4 linked regions of the Arabidopsis thaliana genome follow. The protein of the gene in region 4 interacts with the protein of the main gene of each other region in a pairwise test. Each region holds a gene or a part of one and is shown on either strand. Other genes may lie near its edges.

What was found.
Region 1: the proteins of AGL83 (region 4) and NAC012 interact in a two-hybrid assay, tested with the Arabidopsis thaliana proteins (one large-scale study listed by BioGRID).
Region 2: the proteins of AGL83 (region 4) and AGL89 interact in a two-hybrid assay, tested with the Arabidopsis thaliana proteins (one large-scale study listed by BioGRID).
Region 3: the proteins of AGL83 (region 4) and CRF3 interact in a two-hybrid assay, tested with the Arabidopsis thaliana proteins (one large-scale study listed by BioGRID).

The regions. Positions count from the first base shown.
Region 1 is NC_003070.9:11,860,984-11,869,803, forward strand, and holds NAC012 (NAC domain containing protein 12), read right to left. Parts: upstream 6,172-8,820; 5' UTR 5,968-6,171; coding exon 5,781-5,967; intron 5,686-5,780; coding exon 5,420-5,685; intron 4,984-5,419; coding exon 4,360-4,983; 3' UTR 4,246-4,359; downstream 1-4,245. UniProt on the Arabidopsis thaliana protein: Transcriptional activator of genes involved in biosynthesis of secondary walls. Together with NST1, required for the secondary cell wall thickening and lignification of sclerenchymatous fibers and secondary xylem vessels (tracheary elements).
Region 2 is NC_003076.8:9,732,139-9,739,716, reverse strand, and holds AGL89 (AGAMOUS-like 89), read right to left. Parts: upstream 3,193-7,578; 5' UTR 3,067-3,192; coding exon 2,395-3,066; downstream 1-2,394. Other genes in the region: CDC20.5 (cell division cycle 20.2, cofactor of APC complex-like protein), read left to right, coding at 3,469-4,821; AT5G27560 (DUF1995 domain protein, putative (DUF1995)), read right to left, coding at 6,073-6,177, 6,303-6,396, 6,496-6,561, 6,645-6,736, 6,826-6,940, 7,030-7,112, 7,198-7,311, 7,407-7,494.
Region 3 is NC_003076.8:21,614,491-21,623,004, reverse strand, and holds CRF3 (cytokinin response factor 3), read left to right. Parts: upstream 1-3,723; 5' UTR 3,724-3,979; coding exon 3,980-5,044; 3' UTR 5,045-5,291; downstream 5,292-8,514.
Region 4 is NC_003076.8:20,072,014-20,079,632, reverse strand, and holds AGL83 (AGAMOUS-like 83), read right to left. Parts: upstream 4,306-7,619; coding exon 3,448-4,305; downstream 1-3,447. Other genes in the region: AT5G49500 (Signal recognition particle, SRP54 subunit protein), read left to right, coding at 1-102, 640-790, 874-1,022, 1,133-1,233, 1,303-1,460, 1,551-1,665, 1,749-2,077.

The sequences.
Region 1 (8,820 bases), on a different chromosome or scaffold from region 4:
ATAGTACAATTAGGTTCTTTGAATGTAACCAAAAAACAAGGTTGACATTCATTTTTCTTATCATTGATATGGATCTTCCATATATATACTAACAATATTTTATTTTGACTTAAGATTTGTTTCTTACTTAACATTGGTGGATATTCATTCAATAGATACTAATAATATTTTATTTTGACTATATATAAAATATTTTTCTTATAAAAAATATTAGTTAGTAAATCAATCCACCCGATGTTTTTACATACAAAATGTCCATTTTAGTTTAAAAACCAAGGTTAACCTCCTAGGATAAATCTGTTGGGCTGATTTTTTACTAAAACCCAATTAGGTTTAGTATTATCAAGTTGTATGAATAAGAAATGGACCATAATGGTTTGGCCTGCTCACGATAAATCTCCGGTATATGATGGGTCCGATTTGAAAGGAGAAAACGAGTCACCGAAAGATTTGGTCTCTTATATTTCTCGATTCCTTGAGAATAGGATTCATGGAGAGAGTGGTTATTCCTTCACGTCATCCACCTCCTAGATTTCTGCTTGATTTTGTGAAGAAACAAATTAAAAACCTAAGTATTTCAAGCCTATATAAATAGGTCATGCTTCAAGTCTTGGAGAGACACAGTGAAGTCTTTGATAGTTACACACAAATAGCAATAGCAAAAGCTCCAACAATCTCTTTCTGTTAAAAGTAAGTCTCGAGAGTATCGTAGTAACTATTTTCGTTAGAGTTGAGTTTCGAGTGATGCAAAATCAGTTTATAGAGGTTGTATCCTGAGATCCTTAAATCACACAGAAACTGTCACACTACGGGTGATTTAAAAGGTTAAGGGAAGAGTTCATCAACTCGTCTCATCTCATGTTCTTTCCTTAATGTTTGTGATTTTGATTTCAATTGCCTTTACGTAATGTTTGCTAATTTTAGCTCCTACAAAATCAAGACGAATTAGTTGAGTATTGATGTGAAAACCAGATCAGGAGACTAATTGAAGTATTGAACTCCATTTTGAGCCTTTTGCATAGAAACCTTGTTCCGAACGCACAAGTCTGCTTGAAATTGACCAAGGATGAACATACAAAAGTGATTTCAATTATTCATCACTTGTGGATACTAATGTCATTTCTGTAAGGGATAAAAAAAGCGATAGCTAAGTGATTTGATATGCCTTTAAAAATCTTTACATCATTTATTTGAAGTAAAAGAACATTAGTGATTAATATACATTATGTCAATTTTATGGTTTTTGTTTGATATAATTTATTTAGTCCGTGTAAGTTGTAAATTATGACTACTTAATATATTTTTTTCTGGTAACAATTTTGAATCTTAGGCCAAAACCCAAATTAATCCTCATGGCCCATAGATTCCGTGTATTATTTTTTTGCCGTTAAAGATGTTTATGGGTGGTCAACGTACGAAGTAAAAAAAAAAAAAAAATCAGACTCTTGAAAAGAATCGATCTCTTCCCTGTAGGCTATGCTATACGGTTATACCCATAGAAAAAAAATACACATTTCAAATGTAAATCACTAGCCAACAATTTTATTTTTCAAATATTTTTAAAAGGCAATAAAACATAGGTTTTAACAACAATTATCAAATTAGAGCATAAAATTGTTTGTGTCTGACAATGTTAATTTATACAGGTTATAATGTATAAAGTCGAAGATATGTGGTCGAATATTTGTCAAGAGGCTGTGTGATGAATATCTGTCGGCATAACCCAAATTTGAGATTGCTTTCATAGATAGGCTAATGTTAGTCCTAATCAGAAAGTTTGAAAACTATTATTTTATTTTTTTGTCAAAACGTTTGAAAACTATTTAACAACTCTTTTATTTTGGAAAAAAGAGTCAATATAGACAAAAGTTTGTGAGATTATGACTTACCATCTGTTTGTTTCAAATTATTTTCCAGAATCAATAATTTCGGATCATAGACAGAATTATGACCCTCAATTTATTTTGTTGTAAAAAATAGTAATTGTAGGGAAATTCAACGACATTTTTCACAGTGAATGTATAAACGGGTTCCTTAATTTGTAGTTACTGAAAATTACAAGTTAGTTGGGAAAATAATATATTTTCTGAAAATATTTGAGAAATTTAAAACAAATATTTAAAAATAGATTAATATTAATTTAGGTAAAATTTTGTTCATAATTTTTGTTTCCCTTAAATTATCTTGAATGGAAATTTTTAGGTTTCTCTTTCAAATCTTTTAGACAAATTTCTCTTTCAAAAAAGAAGGAATTAAAATTCATAAGAATGTTATAATTCCTGTAATAATATTTATTTTTTAAGCATCTTAATTATTTTTGTTACTTTGTTAGTGTATTGGAAGGGAAATGATGTATATATGGTTTGTTATTTTTATCAAGCAAAAATAAGAAACAACTTAAGGTTGAAGTATATGGTTGCTTTACCACCTACAATATAATGTCCCATGCCCTTTTCAAATTTAATCAGCTCACTCGGACTTCGATTGCTAAAATGTTGATGGCTATGTTTTCCATCGACATGCTGAAGTATCAAGCTAATGTTCAATCTCCCAATGCAAGTCTCCGTATATACAATTTGAAGACAATGCACTGTCATACTGCATTTAACTGAATCGTGTCTTGTAGCCTCTTTCATTAGTGACATTGTTCCAATTCATTAATCGAGCCAAGTTGGATCCATTATCTTGCGTTTAACGAGATTCTTGATCCGTATAATTAACTATATTCAGACATTTTTGTGTGTTCCAATATGCTTACTTCTACACTTTTCTCGATAACATCACTATTTTTTTAGTAATATTAGTCAGAAAATTAAAAGAAAAACAAAAAAAAACTATTGGTTACGTAATTTGATAAGTGGTAATTGGATTGTCGTATTTGCACAAGAAAAACGACATGAGGATTTTCCAACGAAAATGAAAAAATAACATAGTTGCACCAAAAGGTGAAGTAATTATAGCGAAGCGAGAATCTTATTACGCTGCGTTATTATTTGGTACACTTTACTTAGATGAAAGTCAAAATAAGTATCACTTCATTCATTATACAAGTCCTTCATCAAAATGACAATGATACTTTATCCAGATAAACTAATAAAAATAGCCGTGTTATATGCTAGTTTTTTATACAGTAAAACATATAAATTAATATTCACAAAATTAAGAAATATTATAAAACATTCCTGGAATAGGAATATTGTAAAATAAAAAAATTCAGATGTATAAAATAGTAATAATTTTTCAAAATATATTAATGTATTAGTTTTAGCTGTTTAATAAATAAATAAAAGTTGACGTTAGATTTCATCTCTATTTTTGTTGTGTTTTCAAAATATAGTATTAACTAGTATCGTCTATAACTTCGTCATCAAAATAGCCAAAACTTCTTTCAGTTTTTTATTTTAATCTAAGAATCTTTAATTTTAATTTCGAATATGTATCATTTCATTTCAATAGACTATATATATCTTTCTAATTCACCATCAAAAGATTTTTATTTTTAATTTAATATATATATATATATATATATATCTTTTGCATAAGTGAATTCTATAGAGTATAGACTTTCTAATTCACCATCAAAAGATTTTTATTTTAAATATCAAAATGTTCAAGTTGGAACTATAAAATTTATAATATCCAAACCAGTAAACTTTTTTAAGATCAATTTTCTCTACTCATATTTTTCAAATTAGTTTTAAGATAAAATATTAAATGATAATACAATTAAAAAATTTGAGATTTGAAATTTATAGAAAAAATAATATTACTATAAATTAACATATACATCATAGTTCTGTCATTAACTCATTATTAATTTAGAAAGTTTTTTATAAAATACGGATTCACCATGTGCGTTTGAACCAAAGTACAAATTTACCGAATATTAACTCTCACTATGGCCTATGGGCTTTATGATTCGCAAATACAAAAGATTTAAGCGATAAACATATATTCTCGTGGTTGTACAAATATGGCAATCTTCGTATCATAATTTGGATTCAAATTCAATAGTGGGCATGTAAGAAATGTAGAATGAAAGATGAGGGATGTGAAAAGTTCTACCATTTAGCTTTTTTTTTTTTTGGACATCTTTTAGCTTTAATAGTCAAAGATAAAGAACTAAATGTAATGACTTCTAAAATAGCTTAGTAAGCAATTGAAAGAGTCGTTATTCAAGTTTTGTATATAATATCATTCTTTAACTTCGTAAATTTTATGATTATAAATATTATAAAAAAATTACCCTCCACCATTAACAAATGTTAAACCCCAAAATCAAGACGTACTATCAATAGAACATGAGACATTTTTTAACAAACTTTATTTTATATTTTGTGTATGTGTATGTATAGATAATCATACAGATAAATGAAGAAGTGGGTCTAAAGACGAAGAAGACTCAGTGAAACTACTCCAAAGATCAACATTATCATCATTATTCCAATGAAGATCCCATCGCTGCATCATAGTATCACCATTTTCTTCTTCTTCATCAAAACTCTTACGATGACACGGATTATGATGACCATTGTTCAATTGCCAAGCTACGAGCCGGTCAAGACTAGCCCAGTTGCTGCAAACCGGTCTTTCGGTTATCTTCTCTTGAACGGGAGAGAAATCGAGTTTGCTTGGAGTCAGGAAACTTTGGTCGACCGGGCTCTCGGATTTAGGTGTCTCAAGACTTGGGAGTTGCATGAATAAGACATCATCTTGATGTTGAGTCGTTGTTTGGCTCTCGGGCATGCAAATGTTAGAACCGGTACGGTCCATGTAGAGAAGAACATGGTCTAAACCGGTAACGTTTTGAGTGTTGTGAAAGGTGGGCCCCTTCTCTTCCTCCGTGTCATCAGGTAAAGAAGATAGAGTGATTTTAGGACAATCGTCAATCTTTTGATAGTTCTTCTTCCTGAACACTCGACATACCACCCAACCTTCTTCGTTATAGCTCATTGGATCTTCTGTAACAACATCAGCATAGCCCTGATAATGGAACACAAATCGATCTTATGAAATGCAATAAGAGATGATTAAATCTTGATGATGTAAAAATGCAACTTTTATTTTGAAACAAAAAAAAAAATCTTTTATGTTGGTTTTTCTTTTGGATATGCAACCATAACTAGTTAACTACGTATTGTTTGTAGAGCCGTGTTAAACTATTTTAAGCCTTGTGAAAAAATCTTTTTATATAAATGTATATATGATGTGTTAATTTCATAAGAAATTATCTTATTGTAACTCAGAGAATCATGTTCGATTACTTTAATTGCAGATGCTAAAAGAAGGCTCTAGTGCGTACTAAATGAACCAAAACCTTTTATAGCATGAAACGAATCTAGCTAATTCTTTGACTATAAGTTTGTAATTTGTTTATTCTAACCTAAACTGCAAATTGATGATTGCTATATATACTTACATTAGACATTGGAGTATCGTCGAGGCGATACTCATGCATGATCCAGTCGGATTTCTGACCGTGAGGAGCTCTTCCTTTGTAGAACACGAGTGTCTTCCTCAGTCCAATTCTCCGGACACAACTGCAGATGATTTTGTCACGTCCGGTAGCTTTCCAGAATCCAGCGACTGTTGCCCGGTTCGTCCTGGTCCCGGTTGGATACTTCTTGTCCTTGTGGCTGAAGAAGTACCAGTCGTTTTGTGGCGTTGAACCGATTCTACATTCCTCTGCATTTGCATACCAAAATGGTTCAAAAATAAAGAACAAAGAAATAGAGAGTTCGTAGAAATGAAAGAGTTTTTTTTCATATTTAGGGTTTAACCTTGAATATCCCAAGGCTCAAGCTTGTTTAGATCAACTTCACGAATGACATCAAGATCGATCTTTTGAGAGTTAACTTTCTTACGGAGATAGTAATGGAGAAGTTCTTCTTCGGTGGGATGGAATCTGAAACCTGGAGGCACTTTTGATTGTCCATTAATCGAAAGATTGACCTTATTATCAGCCATTAACGAAGATAGCAATATATTTTTGGGTTTTTGCTCTAGAAGAGTAGAGAAGTTGTATGATTACGAGTGGAAATGGTTACAACTTAAAAAAAAGAAAGCAAACGATGAGATAATTTATAATGGTGGTAGGACTCGACGAGACATAGCCCCCAAAAGGGGGAAATTGTTATTTAAACAAAGAAGTTCATGCATTAAAGTGTCTTTATGAAATTAGTATAATTTAGTAAACAGATGTTTCTATGTTTAAATCGAGTTTGATCATACGTAAGTTCTGACGTAAGACATATTTCTTTTGACGTGTAATGTCATGTCATGTGTAATGTATAAAACGGAAAAATACTAACGTAAATAAACGGGTTTAGTGGGGGATTAATCTTTGTGTTTTCTTGCAATTACTTATTGCAGAATTTGAATTCCATGTGTTTTGGTCTTTACTAATGTATGTAAATATAAAGTATAGATTTGTTTAGAAGAAAATAAATGTAAATTATTTTCTAATATAGCTACGTATATTAAAATAATTTTCATTAATATATCACACACTCGTTTCATGATCTACGTCATCTACATTCTACCATGTTAATTAGTTATCTATTTTTTCCCATGTTTTTGGTATGTTCATTCCTTTCGATGTATCCTAAAAATACATCAATTTTTTTTTTCTTTTCATAATCTATCATTTTTATTCTAATATCTGGTGTCACCTAATCAAGATAATGTGTGTAACATTAACGAAAGAACTTTCCATGATTTTTTTTCTTCTTTTTGGACGATTTTCGATGTTTAATTGTACTATATTTTTTGGTGTATTTAAGTGACAAAAACGTGATGAAAGTCAAAGAAATTGAAACAAGCGGAGAAGAGCAGGGGACATGCTTTTTGCACAAGTGTGACACTTCATCTTCATTTCATCATTTAATTCACCTCTGCCTTTAGTGCATGTCCAATTAGTGCATGTATATTTCAATCTAGCTATTCATCTTAAATCGGAAATAGTTATTCAGACCATCTTACATAGTAAGTTTGAGTATTCGATGGTTATGCGAATACCAAAAAAAAACTAAAATGAAGGGTAAGGCTATATAGCCATTAATATTTAACCGTAGATATTGAAATAGCTAAAAAGAATAGAGAGTATGAATGTGGGAGTGACAGACTGACATGTTGGAATATCCACTTCCAGCTAAAAAGGTGATAGTTGGATTATGTACACAAATAACTGAATTAATTAGCAATATTTGTTTATGAAAATATATGTATATATTCAACCATTTAACATACATATATGTGTATATATTTTAGTTATGGACTTAATTATTGGAATTAAGCATACTGATATAATATGATTTACAAATAGAGGCTGGAGCAATGACACTTTAATCGTTTTCTTATTATATAATATAAGTATATAACATGTACATAAAAGTTGTTACCCTACATGCACTGTACTTATCATTTGTCTGTTGATGGGATCTTTGTGTTTCAACATTAATAATGATGTTTTGTTTCTCTAAATTCTATGCTTAATCATGCTTTTGGGTACACAATTGATGGATTAACTAATACCACATAATGATTAACCACATTTGACCTCTCATTCTTTCACTTTTTCCATTTCTTTATTCTAGTTTTAATTGAGTTGAGTGTGAAGTTTCACCTCGTAATTTGTTCCCATACTAATATTTTGATATATCATTTCGTCATTCCCTTTTGTTAAATCATGTGTGTCCCATGCTCACATGTATGTTATTAACTGAAAACTAATTTCGAACAAAAATATCACAAAAATTAATTCACATTTGTCATTAAATCGAAATAAGGAGAAATAAATTAAATATTCAAGAGAATGTTAAGGCTTTTACACTAAAGTTGATATATATTGAAACAAGAATATTTAATTTATCTAACATGTTAACTAAATCATTGAAGGTGCTCCAAAGTTGATGATCTTGCTGGAGCAAGTTAAGAGCTCACATCATTAGAAATCGTTATGTAGAAGACGGATGTGAGTCATGTGACAAAGGGATGAAACCGGTTTAGCTAATCTGAATCTTTGTTGGTTTTGATTCCTGCAGGTTTAGCTAGTTTGGCTCAAATGGTCGAATGGTTTGAGATATAAGAGAACTGTTGGGCTGGATCATCAAAGGAAAAGGTCGAACTTGTATGTTGTTGTGCTTAGCTTAAATTGTTATTTTGTTATACCTTATGAGGATTAGTTTGAGTTTCCGTTCAAGATTTTATCCCATTATCATATTTTGTTTCCTTTCAATTTTTAATCTCGCACCAAAATCCAATTAATACATTTGAATGTGATGAGTTGGTTATAGTTGCATATGGTGTGAGTGGTGATGCAGAAAGAGAGTGTAATATGTAATTCAATCAAATAACGTTTTGAATGATTAACGAATTAGTGCTAACTTAATAAGACATAGTCAATAGTTAATAATTAAGTGAAACTGCATTGGTTGGTGAAGCATAGCAAAAGTTTGGATGTCAAGCAATTCCGATAAAAGTATAGTCATACTGACGTAGTTACCCACTTTCTGCTTTTTACTTGGATTATAAAATATCCACGTAGTTAGTTATTTGAATAGTTTAGATACATACTATCATGCATGAGCAATATCTACGTAGAATTCAAATTAAATAACATTTTATAATACAAATCAGTAATACGACAAAACTAGATCATATAATATTGTGAGTTTTGGTTGAATAGAAAGTGACATCCACACGTAGTTGCAATGACTAATCAAATTCTTTTGACCTATAAGTTAAATTATGTAACAAGTCGCAAAAGTGTCCGTTTTTCTTGCTTAGCTTCTTCAAATGTGTCTTGTTAACGGCAATCAT
Region 2 (7,578 bases), about 10 Mb from region 4:
CATCAGTTGTGACTCCAAGAAGTATGTGTCAACATGGTTTGTACCAATGTACGTACACTATAGATTGGGAAGTATTTTTAAGAACAGAAAAATCATACAACAAACAATGTCTTATCTCAGCCACTGCCAATATTGGTTTAATATTGTATCAATAAATTTTTCTTAATAATTTAATGTACAAACAAAGATGTACGTATATTATTACACATGTACATACATTAATTTACCAACAAAAATGTACGTACATTATTTCACCATCTATTTTTATTTAATTATTATGTATGTATTGAGATTATTGAGATATAAGAATACGTAATAAAATAGTTTGAGTTATTAGAAATCGTCCCATATACGTTCTAATAAATAATTTTGTGTACGTACACTGTAAATTAAATATACGTACACAGAAAAAATTCGATGAAGGGTATAATTGTAATTTTCCAGTCATCTTCAACCTGTGTATCCTTTTCTGCAAACCTAATTTTGCGGCCGTCTTTATCAGTTTTCTCAAAATCTCATTTTTTTACGTTTTGATTATTATTTATAAATAAATCTTGTAAACCTAGAGTATCTTTAGTTTAAAAAGCTAAAGTGTTTGAATCTATGAGCTTTTTTTTTGCATTTTGTTTATCTCTGAAAATAAGAAATTTGTTCCTCAATTTTGGAGTTCAATAGAGAGATGTCAAAATATGAAGGAGTGGATAATGAATTTTGAACTTCTTTCTACTTCTCTCTCGAATTTCTCCGTCTCTTTCTCTTTTTCTTCTTCTTCGATTTCTTTGTTTCAGTTTTTTTTTTTTTTTTTTATTCAAAACTGAACCACATAAATTAAACCGAAATCAAGTGTTTTGTGGTTTGGTTGCTCCCATTAAGGATATTTTGGTCTGAAAGCAACTGAAAAGACAAACGATGAAAACCATATCTCACTTTGACAAACCATGAGGGGCAATTCTTGTTTCATCCACTTATGTGAAAATTTCTTTTAATTAATTTTATTCTCTGTTATATAACATCTTTGAAATTCAGATATTTTAGGATAGGGGCATCAATAAAAAACTCTGCCTTGATGCTGAAAAACAAGAGCACCAGCTTCCATTTGAATGTCGTCTACACTGAGTTTGGTGAATGTCGTCTGAGAATGAGTGCACTTGTAAATCCTCATCAAGATTATCATCTAGCCTTCTTGCAATGCTCAAATCTTCAAGAACCGGGCAAAACGAGATAAGCAACTGTATAGCTTCATCACTGGCATATACATTATTTTCTAAATGCATGAACTTGAGACAAGTAAAAAAAACTGACCCGAAGTCACACATCAAAACATGATGGACTCTTAAGTACTCAAGTGTCTAACATAAAGACTTAGGGGAATCCCCTCTAAAAATAACCCTTCACATGACACTTAGATCCAAGATGCTTAAGTAGTTAAGTTTACGCTTATCCACAATTTTACTACAGCATGACACAAGACTGGTCACTCTCATTGCTTGATCTGAGCTGGTACAAGCATGAATCCCTAGAGGAATCTAGTAACCTAACAACAAAACTCACTAAGGCATTGTAAAATGGGAATGCATTGGCGTCTAAATCAAGCCATGGGAATCAAACCATTGGACAAAACACTAGTTTTAACAACACCTTCTGTCGGAAGTTGCAACAAGAGCATCTGAATATCAAAGTGTCATGTAATTTGCATATCATATCCTCTTGTCTTGCACTACAGTTTTCGATTTCATTGCATAATCGCTTTTCTTTCAAAAAATATTTCCTCGATTGAACCCACTCACCAAATTAAACCAAAGATTTCACAGAGGCAAGCTCAATTAGTTGTATTATCTGCATTATCTGCATAAGTTATGGATATCTAACATTCAATGTCTATTGTATATGTCAATCCTCCGGATACACTTTACTTAAGCTTGTACAAACATGAATCAAAAGACCTATGATAAGCTAGGAGGCACGTGTGGTAGCTCAAACGGATTCGTTGAGGCTCGTGAATAAGCAAAGAGAAGCAGAGAAGGCACGTGAAAACAGAGCAAGAAGAAACAGATTGTTTAACCACTAGCTTGAGAGTCTAGTGAGTTGTATATAAATAGATAGAAGGTTATTGCACAAGTTATGCATGTATTGATGTGTGTGTAACAAACCATAGAGGAGAGTTAGGAGATCTCTTGAACAAATCTCCATTGTTAGGGCTTGGAAGAATTTTAATCGGAAAATCACAAGGCATTGTAATCTGGAAATTCACCATTGGCTTCTAAATCCAACAAAGCCAACTAATTGACTCAGACAAAAATTGAATTGAGAATAGCATTCATAATGATAATACTTAGGAAAAACATACAATTCAACACAAACTCTTAATCAGACAATTAAAACTCATAATCTAAACTAGAAACAGATCGAGTCAGGGACTTGATAGAAGCTTCCGCTGTCATGGTTATAGACAAAGACTGAATATTTGCTCTGATGGTTACTCAATGGTGACGTCGATAGGTCTTGCTCTGTGTTTGACACACCAGTCACCAATGGTTCTGTCCATTGTTGATGATGATGATCCTCAGGAGAAGACAATGGATTCGTTGTGGAAGAAACCGCACGGCTCTGACCTAGCTCGGTCTGGTTCTCGGGTTGGAGTAACAGAAGCTTATCTTGTAATACCCGTAGACCACTTTCTAGCGAATCCTTCATCTCTAAGACTTTCTCCGACAATTTATTGTCGTCGAGGATCTTTTTACGTAGAAACAGAGAAAGGTTTGTTCTTTTCTTGCGTCGCTCTCTCTCGTGTAGTTTGCTAAACCTCTCAGCCATGTCTCGAACCTTGGATTGATCTTCCGGCCATGTCTTGATGAGTTCTCCGTCACGACCATAATATATGACACAGACTTCGATGTCGCACAGAGTTGAAAGCTCCAAGGCTTTCTTAAACATGGTCTCTTCTCTCATAGACAAATTCGTGGTCTTTTTTGCAGTAGAAGAAGAAGAAAGAGACGATTTCTTGAAACAAGTTTGGTTTCTCACAGACAATTTGGTTTTCTTCTTCGTCGACATTGAAGAATCCATTGTTGTTGTTTACACGGTGAAAGAAAGAAGCTTTAGTTTCTTGCAAAGAGAAAATAAAGTCAGAGAATTGGGATTAGGGTTTATATTGAATTTGTTAAATTCGATTTCCATATTTATTTCATTTTTCTTCAGTAACTGTAATGAAAATCTTTTATTTATTTTTAACGGAAATCTGAATTAGATCCGATTTCCATTTTACTAATATCTAACCGTTGTACGTAATTGACAATTTCTATGTAATGAATTAAAGAAAGCAAAAAACCCTAAAATTGCCACAATCTTCCTTCACTATTCGCTATTCGCTCTCTGTCTCTCTGCTTTGAATCTACTTTACGTTTCCTTCTTCGCAGGTTTTATTTGTCTCTTTGTCATATTTCGTTTAGTCTTCTTCTAATCACAGTTATGATGAACACTTCTTCACATTTAAAGGCACAAGCTTCGTGTCCACTTGTAGAACACTTTCTCCGTCGGAAACTTTCCAAGGAAAACTTCGACAGATTCATACCGAATAGATCGGCCATGGATTTCGACTTTGCTAACTACGCTCTTACCCAAGGAAGAAAACGTAATGTCGATGAGGTAACTTCAGCATCAAGAAAAGCCTACATGACGCAATTGGCTGAGGCTATGAATCAGAATCGCACTCGGATTCTCGCTTTCAGAAACAAACCTAAAGCTCTGCTTTCTAGTAATCACTCTGATCCTCCTCACCAACAACCTATATCCGTAAAGCCTCGTAGATACATTCCTCAGAATAGTGAGAGAGTCTTGGATGCACCTGGAATTGCGGATGACTTCTACCTTAACTTGTTGGATTGGGGCAGTTCTAATGTCTTAGCCATTGCTTTGGGAGACACTGTTTACTTGTGGGATGCGTCTAGTGGTTCTACATATAAGCTTGTGACCATTGATGAAGAGGAGGGACCTGTCACAAGTATTAACTGGACGCAAGATGGTCTTGATCTGGCAATTGGTCTTGACAACAGTGAAGTCCAGCTTTGGGATTGTGTTTCCAATCGTCAAGTGAGAACACTGAGAGGTGGTCACGAGTCAAGAGTAGGATCATTGGCATGGAACAATCACATTCTAACAACTGGAGGAATGGATGGAAAGATCGTCAACAATGATGTGAGGATCAGATCATCTATTGTTGAAACTTACTTGGGTCACACAGAAGAGGTTTGTGGTCTTAAGTGGTCAGAATCTGGAAAAAAACTAGCAAGTGGTGGTAACGACAATGTAGTACACATTTGGGATCATCGTTCTGTCGCTTCCTCAAACCCAACTAGGCAATGGCTGCATAGGTTTGAGGAACATACAGCTGCAGTGAGAGCTCTTGCTTGGTGCCCTTTCCAAGCGAGTTTGCTTGCAACTGGTGGTGGTGTAGGTGATGGGAAGATTAAGTTCTGGAATACACACACTGGGGCTTGCTTGAATTCAGTAGAAACTGGCTCTCAAGTTTGTTCATTGTTATGGAGCAAAAGTGAAAGAGAGTTGCTTAGCTCACATGGGTTTACACAGAACCAGCTTACACTTTGGAAGTACCCATCTATGGTGAAAATGGCTGAACTCAATGGTCATACATCAAGAGTTCTTTTTATGGCACAGAGTCCGGATGGTTGTACCGTGGCTTCTGCAGCCGGTGACGAGACTCTCAGGCTTTGGAATGTTTTTGGAGAACCACCTAAGACCACCAAGAAAGCTGCTTCAAAAAAATATACGGATCCATTTGCTCATGTGAATCATATTAGGTGAATCTACTGTGAAGACTAACAAGGAGAAAACCATTGATAGGTAATAATGTATAGAGAAGCAATGTATTCATCTTTTTTCCTGATTCATTATTCATGAATTTTATATAGTTAATACTTAATACAAAACCAAAAATATATGTAAACTGTTGAGTCAAACAGAACTAGAGTAGGTAGTAGTAGTATATGTTTCTTTATGAGATTTTTATGTAAAACTCTGTGATGTTGATGCTTACTGAAGCTTAATTTGTTTTTGGAAGAACAACTCTTTTCGATTCAAAGATTGAATTTTTCCCCATCAAAGGCTCTGTTTTGGATTTCATTGCAGAACCAAATTCTTTGTTTTTACACATACGCTTGATGTTGTGTGTTGGTGTTTCTGGATTTGTGTGTTGCGTTTTGATGGTAGGTCTAGAAAAAAAGACATTTGCTTTTAGTTCAGTTCGAGTTTTGCGTTTTCTAGAATCCAAAACAATATTAGTTCAAAGCTAGATGAAATAATCTAGTCTCCATTTGTCATCTCTCTTATAATTGGCAAACCAATGATTTATGAAACCTTGTAGATACCCTTGTTCTAGCATGGAAATACTCAAATGCAGAACAAGTTAATTTCCTGATAACCACTGAGTTCTCTACAGTGTACCTTGCCACTTTCATTTTAGCTTTGAACTTCACGGAAGCTGCTTCTTTATATCTGCAAACTCTGAGTGATGACATCAAACAGAGGCACGGATGATGAAAGTTTTAGTTCCTCCCTTTCTGTGGTCATATCCAAATCCTGTTATAAAAACACACACACACCATAAAAACATGTATAACACATAAGAAAGAAACAAAACGTTTCTTATGTTAAACTCTTGGGTCGTGCAAGTCATCACCACCACTATGACGAGTCATTTTAGATTCTGAAGGCTCTCAAGAACTCTAGGTAGCATTTCCAGCTTAGGATAGACAAAGTGTCAATCGCAAACAGAACAAGTTGCAAAACTTCGATATTTTCATGTTATGATGATAGAACTAGTACATAGTATCTGCAGACTGCAGTTTAGGTACAAAACTGACTTTTGGGTTGATTCGGATTAATTTTCTCGACCAGAGTGGTTCACTGAAGTATAGAAGGAACAGAACTCTTTACCAGTACGTATTATACTCTTCATGATGTAATAGCATAGAAAGATATACAGTAATACCCTTTGGTTACATTTCTAATACCAGGACATGTGAATAGTATTACACTGCAGAGAAGAAATCATCTTCACATTGATTTCATGAACCTGTTAATGGATGAGAAAATTCCAGCAGCTTGACTCATTAAAGATGGCCCTTCTTCTGATTTCTCTTCTACTCCCCCATATATTATCTGCAAAAAGAAAACATTTCATCAATGAAATTGCAGCAAAACAAGCTATGGAACTAGGATTTGCACCCAATTTTTTTCATGATATAAGAATTTTTCAACTCAATTAAATCTAGTACTCAATTGACCTCAAGATCCTCTGCATCAGGTCGACCAATGAGTTCTTTAGCGAGTAGGTATCGGCCTGGTCTGTCTTTGTTATCATAGAAGACTTTCCACTTACTAGAAAAATAAATGAGGATAGAAAATGATCAGCTTGTACTCGTTAAACCGTATCTACATGGACTTAATCAAATAAGAAAAACCAAGTCTGAGTCTTACCCAGGATAACACCTGAAAACAGCACCAGCAGCCAGAGGTCTCATAGAGTAAACCGTAGTGAATGAACTAGAAGAGCCAAAATGAAAAGAACAGTTATTGATGTTACGTCAAAAACCTTGTCAAGTCTCATTAAGGATTTTGCCTTTTACCTTAGGAAGTAACGCCTTAGTTTTCTCACGTTAAACCCAACCCCGACTTCCTCGCTTATAAGACGAGGGTTCCACATAATGAGAGGCCTTGGCTTGAAAGAACACAAAGAAATGCCTTCTTAATGTTAGTACTAAAGGTTCTTAGCAAAGTTGAAATTAAAGATTTGACAGATTTAGTTACCGGGTCATCAGCAAGCCCATTAGCAATTTTCTCAACATATTCCAGCATTTGGTAATCAGGAACAACCATGACAATGATCTCATCTTCTTTCTCCACAGGTTTCCGGTCACTTAAGCTGCATCACAACAAAGAACATGACTGCATATTTCTACAGACTCTTTCGAACGAAAAACTATTAAGCTCTCAAGATGTAAGCCAACTTACCTAGCAAATCCGAACGTTGCATCTTTCCACCGGTATTTTAGCAATGCAGCAGCTCCAGCGTCTGGAAATACAGCTTTAACTCTCTGGCAACAACATTTCCAAGCGCTACGAGTCATCGACTGATAAAATGTTTCATGTAAAGGTATTATACAAACTGTTTTAGCTTACCTCACAACCTGTTTCTTTAATGAGAGTCTCCAAGAAAACACGCGAAAGGTCCCAAAGTTCAGCTTGTGCACCTTCATCGTCTAAAAACTGCAGCTGAGGAATCAAAAGCTCCACCTACAAGATTTCAGAGTCAGAATCTTAAAGCTGATACCAAATCTCATTCTTTTTCCCCACCAAAGATTACAAATTTGTATACTACTAGCCCTTACAATAGCTCTATTTCCTCCTGAGTTCACAAACGCAGCACCTGCTTCACCTGATTGCCTAACAGCTCCTTCCAAATCATTAGGCAAACAGCTGAAAAACAGTAACGATAAAAACATCTTTTTTAGCCTTATGTTCCAATAGTCACACAAAAATAACAAAGAAACTGATGAAAAG
Region 3 (8,514 bases), 1.5 Mb from region 4:
TATGTCAAATTTTTCTTTGCAAAGAATCAGCAATTCGTTCATTTTATTTTGTTGCTACGTTTTAAACTATAAAGAATGTTATTTTCATGCATTGACTTGAAAGACTTTATTTCTGGTGAAACATGCAATTATTGGGGTTAAAAAATCGTTAAAGAACATACACACAAAATAAAGAAATAACGTGATTCCTTGTATTTGAAGATTTCATATCGAAAGCGATGTGTCAAAGTATCATATTCAACACCGATGAGAGAAAAAAAACAAATTTTCATAATGTGGAAAGTTTCAATATAATTTTATTGACCAAGATGTCAAATTTTATATAAAAACAAAAAAATTCAAACTCGTAAGTTTCTATTTAACAAAACTTTAATAATGAACATGAAAGAATTAAACAAATAGAAAGATTGCAAAAATCTGAACATTATAACTTTCAATTTTGGCTCGCCAGAACAATATGGCTTAAATAGAAGAAAACATAACGATTAAAAATAATAAAGTTAAAAGGAAAAATTTGGAAAAAAGGAGAAAAAGAGAAGGGGACGTGTGAGGATGCGTTACACCTATGTATCTATTTTATGTGGTCAAAGCTATCTTACTCTTTAGATTTTGGGTCCCACGTGCATGCTTCATATTTTGCCTACGTCCCTTCTTTTAATTTTCTTTACCTAATGTTGTCCTACAAAGTTTTAGTCTGTTTAATTCTCGTTTTTACGTTTAGGGAAAAGGAATTACTATCATGATCAAAATTATAGAGCTTTTTCGGTTTTACCATTAAAAATAAAACAACTATCTGAACTAGTTCTACAACTAATGTTATTGACTTAAACATGTCCAAAAAAAAATTATGTGAACTAGGCAAAAATATACTTCAGAATATTTAACGAGTACAGATGTTATATATTTCTTCCGTATTATTATAAATGATGTTTTTTTTTTTTTTTTTTTTTGCTCTGTTCTGAATGATGTACTGTATTAGCTAAATTTCTAATGTGTTTACTAATTAGTCTTATATAGTCATTTAAAATGTATATGATATACCACATGTATATAACAAGTACATTTTGGAAGATAAGATGGACATTTTAGAAATTTTGATTGCCACATCGATCATATTCCTTCAAAATGTTTGATACCATATGGAATTCCCTCCTTTAAAGACTTGAAAACTATCTCACTTCTTTTTCCTAATAATCACTGTTATATATGCACCATTTATCAATTAGTCCCAAGTAAAGATGTTTGAGATCTTGCACAATGTTGGTATAGAGTTTACTAGAAGTTTAGAATCATGAAAAGTTTCTTAATCGATACTAAACACATCATCAAACATATTTTTACTGTCTCTAATTCATAGACGTTTTTCATCGAAATTGAATCGTAAGATTGATGATGACACAGTGGCAACACCATTATTAGATTAATAGTTTTTGTGGTAGACTATTCATTCAATAATTCATTAGTTGATATAAATTTTCTTAATGGTTCCAATTTGTGATAAATTAGCAAAATGTTCTGAATTCTACTTTGTCACTAAAATTCGTATCAGAAAAACCGGTTTGACCGTCCGTTGTTCAGGAACTTAGGATTGACTTCTAGTAGTCTCTGTTTGCTTTCGGCTAGTTTCGAGCTTGGTGGACTTTCATCTTCAAATCTATCACTTTCTCTAATTCTTAGGTCTTAATCATAGAATAACTGAATTTTCCCCAAATAAAGGAGCAAGAAAAATGCAATTTCAATGCATGTAGAGTTTTCTTTTCATCAAAAATAAAATAAGGGAGTTTAAATCCGTACCATCTATATCACATAAAACTCATAGCGACTTTTAACAACTCAAGATATATTTTTTCTTAAAAAAAAGCAAGCAAGTTAGTAATTAATAGAATAAATTTGGTAAAGCCTACTCAACTTTCGAAACCATAATATGAAAATCTTTAAATTTATTTTTGGATTTTAAACGGCTTTCAACAAATTGATCAAGATGAGTTCAAAGACAGTTTATCAAAACAGATTAGCTGCAAGAGATAGTCTTTTGCAGAATGCTTCATAAAGTTTGTAACGGATTAGCAGCAAGAGATAGTCTTTTGCAGATTGCTTCATAAAGTTTGTAACAGGTTGGTATGAAGATGTTATTATGTTCTAAATCATGCATCTATGTTAATTTAGACCAGTTTTGTTTTTGGCTTAACTGTCTTTAACTCTTTAATATATGTACATGCATAGAGTTTGTGTTTTGTGTTTAAGTTATATGTATGTAAACTAGCTTTTAATTTGACACATTTTCTCTATCAAATGTACATGGTTTATGTTTATTGAGCAACAAAAAGTCTTTTACATCTTCAAGTTATTTAAATGTTCCTATTTAATATATCAGAAATGTAACATCACATATTTCCGAGAAAAAAACGATTCTAAATTACACTATTTATGAACTAGAGAGAGTAAAATTTAAAATTAAAATGGCTACTTAATTAAAATACAATCATAATTTTTTTTATTTAAAAAGCAAGTATATCATATCTTGGTTTACAATAACATAATTTCAAATCTCATTGCCATCCAAACAGAAAAATAATTTTTTTACTAGTCCAAAAAATTAGGAACAGATGTAGTAAGCTTTGATATCCCTAAACCCAAGTAAAAACCCCAACAAAAAGATATTAGTAGAAGATTGTTTTTACAACAAATCAAAAATATAGTTTTCAAAAAAAAAAAAAAAAAAAGATACTTGAGAAGCGCGTGGAAAGTACGAATAGCAAGCAGTGGTGGAAGAGCGAGTGAGGGAACAAAGAGTACAGAAAAAAGCCTAGAGACGTACCACACCACCGAATTATAAATGGCGGCAAATCCTAGGTTGCTCGCCACGTTACTTCTAGCTGTAAAATGGTAACATTTCAATTTAACTACCATATTTATATTGATTCAAAGATATTTTCGTCCTAAAATCATTTTAATATCTAAAATTAAATACATAACTTCCTCAGTCACATATTCATCTTCCCTAAATTAACATTATTCGATTATCTAACATGGAAAAATGTATATTGTATAATACAACGTATTCAACTTTGACAAAATCGCATTTATTTTATTTCCCTAACAGTTAAAAAATCGCATTTATTTTATTACCCTCAACATTCGTACGTGACAAGTTGAAAAATTGCATTCAAATAGACGAAGTTACCCTCAACAATCATCATTAATTACTTAATGTCGGTCAAAGCTAGTGGAGTGATAAAAAATTTGTTGAGAAGTAGTAAGTAAATTTGTTTTTATTATTAGTATCAAATAAACTAAAAAGGTAAAAAAAAATTTAAAAAAACCGGGACCGGGTATCTTGGGGGTCACGTGACATGAATCGCGAAATTCGAGACTAGAAGCCACGCGCTGACTCAGCACATACAGGAAGGAGCCAAATATCTAATATCGCCACGTGTCACCATGCGACTTGCGCTCATGAATGCGGCGTCCCGTATTTTTAAACAACTCTCTTATACCCGAAACTACCCTTGGAGTTTTGTAGTTAATTACGGAAAAATGCCACTGATGGAGGAGCGGAAAGAAACAGCTTCGACAAGGAAAGAAATCAAATGATATTAAATATTATATATTATATAGTTTTCGAATTTATTGTTTACTTTTGTAAAAATGAATAAAATAATTATGGCTAAAACCCCGAAGAGATCCTATAAATTAGCATTTCAAGAGTGAGCTAGAGAAGGTCTCCACTTGCGAATCGCTAAAAAAAATCACTGTTTCATAACACGTTTTTCTCTCTCACCCACCAAAAAAAAATCTTTTGTTCTTGTTACCAAAAAATCTCGTGATAAATCTCTTCAAACTTTGTTTTATTTTCTTCTTGATTCTCTCGAAATCTCTCTCAACAAACCCAGAAACTTTCCTTGATTCGCAAGCTTTTCTTCCTTTTATATTCTTCATTTTGATGCGAATATAGAGAGAGTCCATAAAAGAAACAGTAATGGACGAATATATTGATTTCCGACCATTGAAGTACACAGAGCACAAGACTTCAATGACTAAATACACCAAAAAGTCATCGGAAAAACTTTCCGGTGGTAAGTCATTGAAAAAGGTTAGTATTTGTTATACTGATCCTGACGCAACAGATTCATCAAGTGACGAAGACGAAGAAGATTTCTTGTTTCCTCGCCGGAGAGTCAAAAGATTCGTTAACGAGATCACTGTTGAGCCTAGCTGTAACAACGTCGTCACCGGAGTTTCGATGAAAGATAGAAAGAGACTCTCTTCTTCCTCCGATGAAACTCAATCTCCGGCGTCGAGTCGTCAACGTCCTAATAACAAAGTTTCAGTCTCCGGTCAGATAAAGAAGTTCCGTGGTGTTAGACAACGGCCATGGGGGAAATGGGCGGCGGAGATTAGAGATCCGGAGCAACGTCGGAGGATTTGGCTCGGGACTTTTGAGACGGCGGAGGAAGCTGCCGTGGTTTATGATAACGCCGCTATAAGACTCCGTGGACCGGACGCTTTAACTAATTTCTCCATACCGCCTCAAGAAGAGGAAGAAGAAGAAGAACCGGAACCGGTTATTGAGGAGAAACCGGTTATTATGACGACGCCAACACCAACAACATCGAGTTCTGAATCAACTGAAGAAGATTTACAACATCTCTCATCTCCTACTTCGGTTCTCAATCACCGGTCAGAAGAGATTCAACAAGTACAACAACCGTTTAAATCAGCTAAACCCGAACCGGGGGTTTCAAATGCACCATGGTGGCATACCGGGTTTAATACCGGTTTAGGTGAATCAGACGATTCATTTCCTTTGGATACTCCGTTTCTTGACAACTATTTCAATGAATCACCACCAGAGATGTCAATATTTGACCAACCAATGGATCAAATTTTCTGTGAAAATGATGATATCTTCAATGATATGTTGTTCTTGGGTGGTGAAACTATGAACATTGAAGATGAGTTAACAAGTTCTAGTATCAAAGATATGGGTTCAACGTTTAGTGATTTTGATGATTCATTGATATCAGATCTATTAGTTGCTTAATATGATGATGAGAGTGAAGAAGAAACCATCAAGCAAATATCTATGGTGTGACTGAAAAATTTTGGTGTTACTTTTTTTTCTTTCATAAGTTCATGAGCTTTTTTGTTTCTTTTTTAATAATTTATTTAGTTTTGTCAGGAGCTTGTAAAACAGTTTTGGAGAAATAGTGGAAAAATAGTTTAATTATTCTGTATTCTTTATTTATTTAAGTAATTGCGTTATTAGTTGCACGAACGTGTTTAATTTTCAAAGCATTTGGCATTTATTTATTTTTTGTTAATTAATTATTTAATTTTAGAAAAGCCAAAGTGGCATTCTCTTTGTAAAGTCATACTATGAGGCGCAAATTACGGTCGTGGCCAGTGAACTGAGAGGTTTTGGCCTTTGGGTTTGGTCTGGTTGAGAAGAGGTGTTTTGTCTTGTAATAGTCATGTTAATCTTAAATTTTGTCAGTAATATAAACTTCAAAATAAAATGTAAATTAATTAATTGTACAGAACACAAAATTATATCATTTATTATTCCGAAAATTACTATCAAATCCTAAATTCGAACATTATCAGAAATTCATGTTTATGATGGAAATGTTTTGGAAAGAGTTCCAAACACATCACAAACTTTTTGTAACCATTTTCGAATATCATTCAAGAACTCTTTCTAAAGACAAGTGTGTGGCAATGTTCTAGAATTCGAACATGTTGGTGGTAGGTGTTTTTTTTAGATGGATTTTTGGGATCCATATGACATTTTATTCATGATGGTCGTTTTTGTAAGTGAAACTTGAGTGTGTTAGATCTTAATAAACTAAATAAGAACATTCTGACCACTGGGAAGAAAATTAAACTTTGTTTTCAGGTTTTCAAAGGCTAATGCATTTTGTCATTCGTGAGACACACACCTCGTTCGGTGAAAAATATATATAGTTTCGCAAGTTTTTTTGTCTAATTTAATTGTTGATCGTTAGGGATGCGATAAATATATATTGCTTTCGGAAAATTTACTTTGACTAAAATTAGTTTTACCTAACAACTGATGGATAAATTTAAAATGAAAACCTTAACACAAAAGTAAAAGAATAATGAAAAATAAACCTTGGCAGGGAGGAATAATAATGAAACCTTTGCAGATTTGTTTTCGTTTCTTTAAACTTTTGCTAAGCTTTTATTAAAAGCTCTTGTAATTGTTTTTGTATCGAATGTAACTATATAGATTTCATTTGAATCCAAGTCACCGACTCATCGCCTTGTTTTACTAAACGTCTTTCAACTAAGGGAAATATGATCTATAACTTATTTTCTTCTTTAAAAGCTTTCTTTAAAAAAAAATATTCTCTGTTATACAAAGATTGCATGATAGCTTTTGCTATCGTTCGATTGTGATTCTATATCACTGAAATTAATTAAATTAATTAATCTAAAATTCAATATGTTTCCATATTTATGGTAAATTGATTCACAGGGTAGTATCTTACCTAGTTGTAAGTTCGTTGTGAGAAGGTCCTTAAAAGGAAGAAGTGGACGTACATACAAAAAAACACAGATATCAATCATTAAATTGTCCTATTGGTAATTTGAGAGAAAACTATTCTTGGTAAGAGATGTTATTGGTGTGCAGAGTACGGATCAAATACGATTAGGATTTAAGAAATTTATAAAGTAAATATATAAAGATGGTTCGTTCTCCAACTCAAATCAAAATTGTCCAGGTGAGAAAATCTCTCTCAAAATTAAATCTATATTCTTCATCAATCTGCATTTTTCCAACAATATAAATTGTAAACCATTGAAGCATCACGAATAACATCAAATCCGTCTTACATAAACACATTTATTATTTGAGTTTTTTTTTTTTTTTTTTCATTTAAACTTTAAGACTGTAGTCGAAGACTATTTTGTAATCTGTTGGTAGACCAGAATGATGTTAGGCTCATAGACTAGCTATATCTAACAGCATTTCTAAAATTAGTTGCAACCAACATAGCATTATGTCTTACTGTAGAAAAACACAAAGAATATACTGTATCAATTATCAACGTAACTGATATTTGTAACTCTCTTTTGTCTCACGTCCATCTTCCAATCTCTTTTGGTCTGAACTATCTTCGACTAAGATTTTGGACGTCGCTTTTTTCTTCATACGAGTTGTGTTATTGCCTTTTTGCCGGTTGGTATATTTCTTAATACTAATAATTAATAACTAATGGAAAGTATAGAATTCATTTGAAAATTCGGTCAATGTCGGAGAAAAGTAGGTGACAAATGACATAATTCAAACAAATAATTTACGTGGAAATAAGTTAAGCACACACATAGACCTTAAATTCCATATCACATTTAATACGATCGACATTTGTATTTTATTTTTCTCATACAAGATACGTATAGTCCTATATATAATCTAATACTGATAAATGTGGCCTTCGCTTTTGTGACGTGAAAGGACATTGTCCCAAGAGGGTTTCAATAAGGTTACCACTTGGTCTGTTATGGCCGAGACAGAGACATACGTACGCCTCATTTGGTTTCCAATAATAGTTATCATATTGTTCTTTTATTTGATGACATAAACATATAGAAGTATATCTTTGCTGCGTTTATTTTATTCAAAAACATAATTACACTATTTTTTAGTTTTATTTTATATCTCTTTAGGACAAATATATTCGAGTTCACCGCTCCATCCGTAAAGCTTTTATTTCGAATGATCACACCATCATTACTCACATGAAATGTATATTATATAGATTTACATAATCTGCCGTTGATTATAAAATCTATTGTCCCTTTTTTCTGTTCTGTTGGTCGTGTGTTAGATTAGATAGATAACACATTATTAACATGGTGATCGTAAATCTCGATATTAAATAGTTTGTATTTTGGCCATAAAATTAAGTTAGCAAGAAGAATTTATAACTTTTATTAAAATACATTCCATTTTATTCTTAAGTCATCAACTAATTAGTGATTACCATGATACTTGGGTAAGAATTAGTTCAAGTATTCATTTCTTATATATATATATTTTTTTTATATGCATTGTTCATACAAAACTTTCAAAACTCTTGACCGATTTGGTATGTCATATACTTGTTCGGTTCAGTTCTTGGTCCATGGATTTTCCGAAAAATTTGTAAGTTTTTCTACTAATGTGTTGAACATTTTTATGATATATTTTCTTAATATTTCACTTATCATATATATAACTTGGATTAAATATTCTAAAAGGACTGTGAGAAACAAAAAAAAAAAAACTGTGTACTAGGTAAATTTAAAATTAACTACAAGGCTAGTATCCATATATTTACCAAAAGAAAAATGTTTGAAATTATACTAGGTAACAGTCATGATTATTTCCATTAATCTTGAATTAAAACTAACATATCCATAATCGAGTGATTATGGCTGTGCTTCAGTGCTTGTGTTTGTCATTCATAAAATATATAAATCCAACATGCATGCATAATTTATTTG
Region 4 (7,619 bases):
AGGGTACAAACCAGCTCTAGTGTGTGCGGATACTTTCAGGGCAGGTGCTTTTGATCAGCTGAAACAGAATGCCACCAAATCTAAGATCCCCTATTATGGAAGGTACTGACATCAACCCTTTTTGCAGTGTTAAAAAATCTTATATCTTAGTTATTAGCTTTCTTCCTGCGTGCTTGGAAGACCTTTGGTGCTTGCATTTCCAAATATATTAGCTCACGTACAAAAGTGATGTAATTTTATTTTTGACGGTAGAGCCATGGTACACCATTTATGAAATTGTTTGGTTTACACTCGAGGACTACGCCACTACGGTTACTGAATATATCCCTCTCCAGTTACCTTTAAATCCCTTTTGCCAGTTTTTTCTTTGCGCTCTTTTTTCGGTATTCATTTTACAGTGCCACTGTAACAAGGGATCTCACGTCTTTTTCATAGATTTGTACAGTATACATAAATGGATATTTTGAGGTCTTGTGTTATCTTCTGTTTCTATTTTGCAATTTGTCAATTTGGTTTTACTTCAATGTCAATAACATGACGAAATATATATAAAATAAAAAACTCTTATGGATTGAAACCATTAGCCAGGGCATACTGTGATAGCAGAATGTGCTAATACTGATTTGTGATTCTTTGCAGTTACACAGGATCCGATCCTGTGAAAATTGCTGTTGAGGGAGTTGATAGGTTCAAGAAAGAAAATTGTGATCTTATTATTGTTGACACCAGTGGTCGCCATAAACAACAAGCTTCTCTCTTTGAAGAAATGCGTCAAATTTCTGAAGCAACGGTTTTACTCTCTTATCTTAAAGTCTTCTGTTCTTGTTCCTTAATTATGTTGGAGGCGCTAATTGCTGCCTTTTCACTTTACAGAAACCAGATCTTGTTATATTTGTTATGGATAGCAGTATTGGTCAAACTGCGTTTGAACAAGCTCGAGCATTTAAACAAACTGTTGCTGTGGGAGCTGTAATTATTACTAAGATGGATGGTCATGCCAAGGGTGGTGGGACTCTTAGCGCGTAAGTATCTTGTAGCTGCTGAGTTGTCATGTACTCGAAATGGTGATATGAAAATCATGCAAGCTTTTCCAATTGGGCAAGTGGATCTCATCTATTTTCCATCTTGTTAGTGTTGCAGCTACAAAAAGTCCTGTCATATTCATTGGAACAGGAGAGCATATGGATGAGTTTGAAGTTTTTGATGCTAAACCGTTTGTCAGCCGTCTCTTAGGTAAATATCATGGCATTGACTGATTGTGAGGAGTTGACTCAGAATCTTGATAATGTATATGTACAATAGGAAATGGTGATATGTCTGGATTCGTGAATAAACTACAAGAGGTGGTACCTAAAGATCAACAGCCTGAACTTCTGGAAATGCTCTCTCATGGTAAATTTACATTGAGAATTATGTACGACCAGTTCCAGAACATGCTGAACATGGGCCCACTTAAGGAGGTCAGAATCTCTGGTCAAATATTAGTAAGCTAAAGAGCACAACGTGATGCTGATAAGACAAAAATATGAAAATACGGTGTTGGTTTGTAGGTTTTCTCCATGCTACCTGGAATGCGTGCTGAAATGATGCCAGAGGGACATGAGAAAGAAAGCCAGGCGAAGATAAAGCGATACATGACAATGATGGACTCTATGACTAATGAAGGTGAGAGCAATATCTTCTTTGGAGAAAGTTTCTCTGTAAAAGTAATAGTAGTTTTGAGCAATAACTGATTGGTGGTTGTGCAGAACTGGACAGCTCAAATCCAAAGGTGTTTAACGAGTCAAGGATAATGCGGATAGCAAGAGGGTCAGGGAGGATTGTAAGAGAAGTGATGGAGATGTTGGAAGAGTACAAAAGGTTAACAACTATGTGGGGGAAGGTGAAAGGGCTTAAGAACCTAGAGAAAGGAAATATGAGCGCACTCTCAAAAAACAAGAACTCGCAGCAATTGAGTAAGGTCCTACCGGCTCAGATGCTAAAGCAGATTGGCGGCATGAGTGGTCTGCAGAGTCTCATGAAGCAGATGGGTTCAGGTAAAGACCTGATGGGAATGTTCGGTGGCCGAGACGAGTAGTTTCTTCCAGTCCAAAACTATAAACATAGCTACTAGAGATAATGAGTGTTGAGCGAGGACTGAAATATTATTATTTTTTTGGTAGACAGGACTGAAATATTATTGTAGTGGTGAAGTGTGATTGAGAGAAAATTTAGGACATGAAAATATGTGATTCTCCGTGTTAGTTAATCGAGTTTATGTATTTAACTAATCTGTAACTTTATAGTCTATTGGTTGGGTTATTATTGTCGTAGTAGTTTACCGTCCAAATTCAAATTTGGTATTATGTTGATGATAAACATAAAATCTAATTTTCATGTTTGCAACTAATTATAAGCATATCGAATATACACTAAGTATGGTCTGTGTTAGTATAATCGATGATCGAACCGCAATATATTGTTGACAAAATCATAAGCTTGAAACTTTTTCATTTAAAATAATTCGATGAATGTGAGAGTTATCCTTAGATATTTTTGGTATTTCTGAATTGTTAGTAATTAATTAAGGCAAAAATGATGTGGTGTATACAACTATACAAGTATATATATGGGTGCTAACTAATGGATACTTCCCTAATGTTGTGGTGTATACAACTATACAAGTATATATGGTGCAATCTCTTTGTAGTCACTCCAAGTTCAAAAATCTGAATCTCTCAAAGAATTCATGTCAAAAGATAGATGAGTTCGCTCTGTGCCAATGTTTAAAACATATATATTCTTGGTTCATTGTTTGTTTGGTAAGGTTGGAGCCAACGATCGACTACTATATGGAAAATGAAACTTGGTGCACTCTATTGGAGCCATGCTGCTTATACTGAATTTTAACTGAGAAAGGATTTATAGAATTCAGTGTAGGGCACATGCCCCACCCAAGACCAACGTGGTCCGCCACTGATCTTGACTCTTGAGTTCTATGTTGTAAAACGACATCACGTTGGGATTTGTGGTAAGAAACTAAAGCACCTCCAACGTATAGGATTTATATAGTGTCTAAAAACCAAAAAGTATTAATATTTTACTTTTATATCCAAAAAACAAAAATACTAACGTATAAGAATTATAGAAACGATTCTAAAGTTAGAAATTTCAGAGATTCTCTCTCATCTCTTTCTTTTCTTTTTTTTTTTTTTTTTTTTTTTTTAATTATATGAGTTTCTACTAAAAAAAACTACGGCTGCAGTTGGTGTAAGAACTCCAAATTGTGTTCAAAAGAAATAAATAGAAGTTTTGCTTCTTGCTCTCGTGAGAGAGCATATACACGAGAGCATATAACAAAGTAATGCTTAACATAATTCTTCTAGGAAAGACTAATTTAACTAAAGCATAATTGTAAATGTCCTTATTGCATAAGAATGCTCTTTTTCCTAATTCAATTAATCCAGGTCATATACTTCTTCTTCGTTTTGCATAAGAACTCGTGGCTTCATTTTCAATTCGAGTAACTGAAACTTGCCATTCCTTCTCAAACTTTTCTTCAATTTGTGATTTCTTCTTTTCTAGCATAATCAAAGGATTTGGTGAGATTCCAACAATCTCGTTGGAATTGGCAGGTAATTCATCAGGGACGCAACAAATTGTAGTAGTGTTGGAGTTAGGATTTAGGGTTTCATATTGAGTTCCGTGTTGTAAAACAACATCGCTCCTCTCATTCTTCTTCAAGTCCTTGTGATCGTTAACTAAAGCTTCCTCCCCACTCAATTCCTTGAGATTACTCAAGAGCGTTAACATAGAGTTGATAGCGTCACTAATCTCTTGAGGATTCTCCGATTTGTTGAGGCTCTCGTTGTTCCACCAAAACCCTAACCCTAGATTTGTACGAGACAAGCAAATAGCAACGTCCTCTCTCATCTCTTTGGTATCCTCCTGAAGAGGAACACAACGTTGCCCGGAGAGGAAAGAAGAGACAACGGCATCAACGGAGGAGTGACCGAAAGAGTAGAAGGAGATGTTGGATTCAGAAGTAGGAGGAGTCGCTAAGATAGCGATCTGTGCATCGGAGAGAAGACAAAGCTGAGAAGCTTTGCTAAAGAGACCTTCACGACGTTTGGTGCAAGTAACCCTAAGGTAATCGCTCTTCTGTATCGTCTCAATCGCAATCTTCCTCTTCGTACCTCCTTTTTTCACCATTCTGATTTTATCTATTTCACCACAGCGACGGTTTTTGTTTTTGCGTGGAGAAAGATAATTGACAAGTGAAAGCCATAATCTCTCAATCTCGTATAAATAAGGAACGAATCTCATAAAAATAAGAAAATATTGAATCTCATATAAATAAGGAAATATTGAATCTCATATGAATAAGGTAATATCGAATCTCAAATAAAAAAGGAAATATCGAAACCTCATCATCCACCTAAACTAGTTTCGACTATGTACCACAGCAAACCGATATCGTTCCAACAAAACCCAATTCTGAACCAAACCAATTTGATTTCAATCTCTAACGTACGGTTCACGTAACTACTAAATAGAGTAAACCATGCAACGTAATATTGTATGGGCTAAGTTCCAACTATCCACCAGAATCCTTCTTTTTATCCTTTATTATTTTCTTATATAAATAAATTAAAAATATTCGAGAATGACGAGTTGATTTTTTTTTAGAGGAATATATTCAAGAAGGAATTACCGCCAATACAGAAAAAAAGTAGAATGATATTTATGCAACGGTTATAAAATGAAATTAAGCCCAACCAAATAATCATGTAACTATACATCAAAACCTCTATGACAAGACCAACATTACTATGAGAGAGTAGAGACTATTGTTTTAAGAATAAGAAACATGACTTAGCTCTCAGCGATATGAAAAGACTAGAAAAGTTCACATACTGTTTTAGGACAAACCATAATGACTAGAAAAGTTCACATACTATGAGCTCAACGAAATGTTGATTTATCTTTTAAATTTTAATTTAAGATTTTTTTGTTGTCAAGGTTGGGGTTAAGGTATATGTGAATTAATTTATTAATGGATTGTAAAATAAAATTTGAATCAACTAAGGAATTGAAGGAGAACCCGATCGAGCATCCCTCTTTGGCCCAATGATTTCACCTACTCTCTTTTGCTCTTTCTTCCACAATAGTTTTTAACAATATGACTGGATTGGTTAATAGATTTAGCAAATCACGATTAAAAAAAAAAACTAAAGAGGTACCACATAGTTCTCAAGCGTAGTTTGCGCTACAAGACAAGCTCGACTCTATGTTTTTTAAATGAGTTTTATGATTTTTTTGTATAAGAGAAGGTCGTTTGAATTCATTAGAGCGCTAAAATTTTTATTATCTTCAAGTAATGCTTTTTTCCTGCAAATTGAACTTTATTATGTATGTAAATCTTTACAAAAAAGGTTTTTGAACCATATTGGCTGATTCCCTAAATCTGTTTAAAACTCACTAGTTGTGTAAATTGAAGTAATGCTTATCATAGTTATATTTCTTCGAAATGTATCCATGAAAAAAATAACTCCATGACACACAATAAAACCTCAATAAATTAGTATTGCTGGACATTGCATATTTATTATTTTATCAAAATATTAAATGAAATATAAAAATAATAATTATTTTTTACATAAATATTAGTATCAAAATTTGACTAATTATAAAATTTTACTGTGAGATTATAGGAAGATACAAGTGAGACAATTTGATCAATACAAGATTATAAACTAATTTTACAGTATCAACTTGTTAAATTTAATGTTAATAAATACAACTAATTTAACTGGTTGAATATATTAGAGTGATTTATTTAGTCCTCCACAAAATTTAAGAAAAAATATTATTACTCTATAATTCAATTTTCTTATCTATACATTTCCTCTATAAGTTCCACTATTTTACTCAAGAGGTTTCACGAATCATATCCCACAACAAAATCTTGCCGATAGAGCAAAAGTTGTCCAGATGCAATATCAACAAATCTAGACAAAATTAGGGGTCAAAATAACATAAAGTTGAGGTGAAAATTAACAATCTAATTCTAACTTTCACCAAAATTTATTCCAAAATTAAACTAATAATATCACCATGATACATCTTTAGCGTTAAAAGTTTATAGTAGTTTTTTAATGATAACTAGCAAGATGAAAGGTTAGAACAGACAAAGAAAAGACAGTAACTTCAAATATAATTTTTTGGGATTTAAATACAAATGTGGGATAAGTAATACATTTATGTGGTGGCGCCTGCGTTTGGGGTTGTATGAACATTAGAAATTCTTCGGCGGTGCACGAAACAAACCTCGCGTTTCAAGCATCTAATACTCACTGACTCAATCGCGATGAGACTAATGTGATTTACAATAACCATGCGGCTAATCCATTTGCAACTTCAGAAGATCTTCTTGGTCTCAAACCCTTAGTTGAAGGTTTGTTTCTTTATCCCGATCAGCGAAGATTTAGTGACAACTACGTATGGATCCGTGTCCAGGAAGAGAGATAAAAGATTGGTAATTATTTTTTATTGGTCGAGCTTAAAGGTTACTTTGATCATCTTCTAATTTCAAACCGTTCTTCAAAATTTTCAGTTGTGCTTTTGTAGTCTCGATCTCGATCTGGATTAGGTCAAATTGGATTCATCTTAAAGTCTGTTTATCAATTTTGGTTTCAAGATTCTGTGTATTTGGATGTTACAAGATAACTAAGGTTCTCTTTTGCGATTTTGCAGTTGGGGAGGAAACTTTGAACAACAAAGAAATTATTAAACAATAGAGGTTGTATGAACCAAATATTGAATTATGCATTTATGCTGTTCATGAAGTATGTATTTCCCAAATTCATCAACACCTATTGGATATATAGATTCGTTTGAACGGCGATCGGAAAATCCTAGCTCTATACAGAGAGAGCTTATCACAAAAATTTGGTCTTTTTGCAAAATATACGATTGTCTAGTAGTTTCGTGAAGATGTATCATCTTCGAGTTCGAAACTTCAGTATGGCTTAAGAGATCTCTTTTGTTTTCCAACAGAATAATAAAATTATTCAAAATTTGATGTAGCGGCCCATTTTTTCCTCATGTATGTGGTCTTATAAAATTCAGGGTCGACACTGGTCACGAGCTTAATTAACCCGCCAATAGTGATAATGGACTTTTGGCAGATAGGAATTCATACGGACATGACTTTGGTGGACCGGATAAAAAGCTTGGTTCAACATCCCCATTAACTAATATTGGTAATCGATCGACAAAAATTATGTATGAATATATGGCTTAGCTGAAAGTGTATGTTCTATATTGGATAAATCAAATGATTCTATCTTCAAGCAAAAAAGATAAACACAAAACACCAAAATACAAACACAACATGCGTTAACATATTCGGTCGAGTCAGATGATCAAATAGCACGATCCTTCCTTGCCCTTCACGCATGAATGCGGATACCAATAAATCTATTAGAATCGAGGAAGAACATCACTGGAAGCCATGGCAGACGTGTGAACTGTGAGAGAAAGAGACCATTACTAAGAAGTAGCCATATCTGGTCCAAACGGTTCAGATAGAAAAAATCTAAAGATTGAATTGTGAAAAGTGAGAGTAAGCAAAGGAA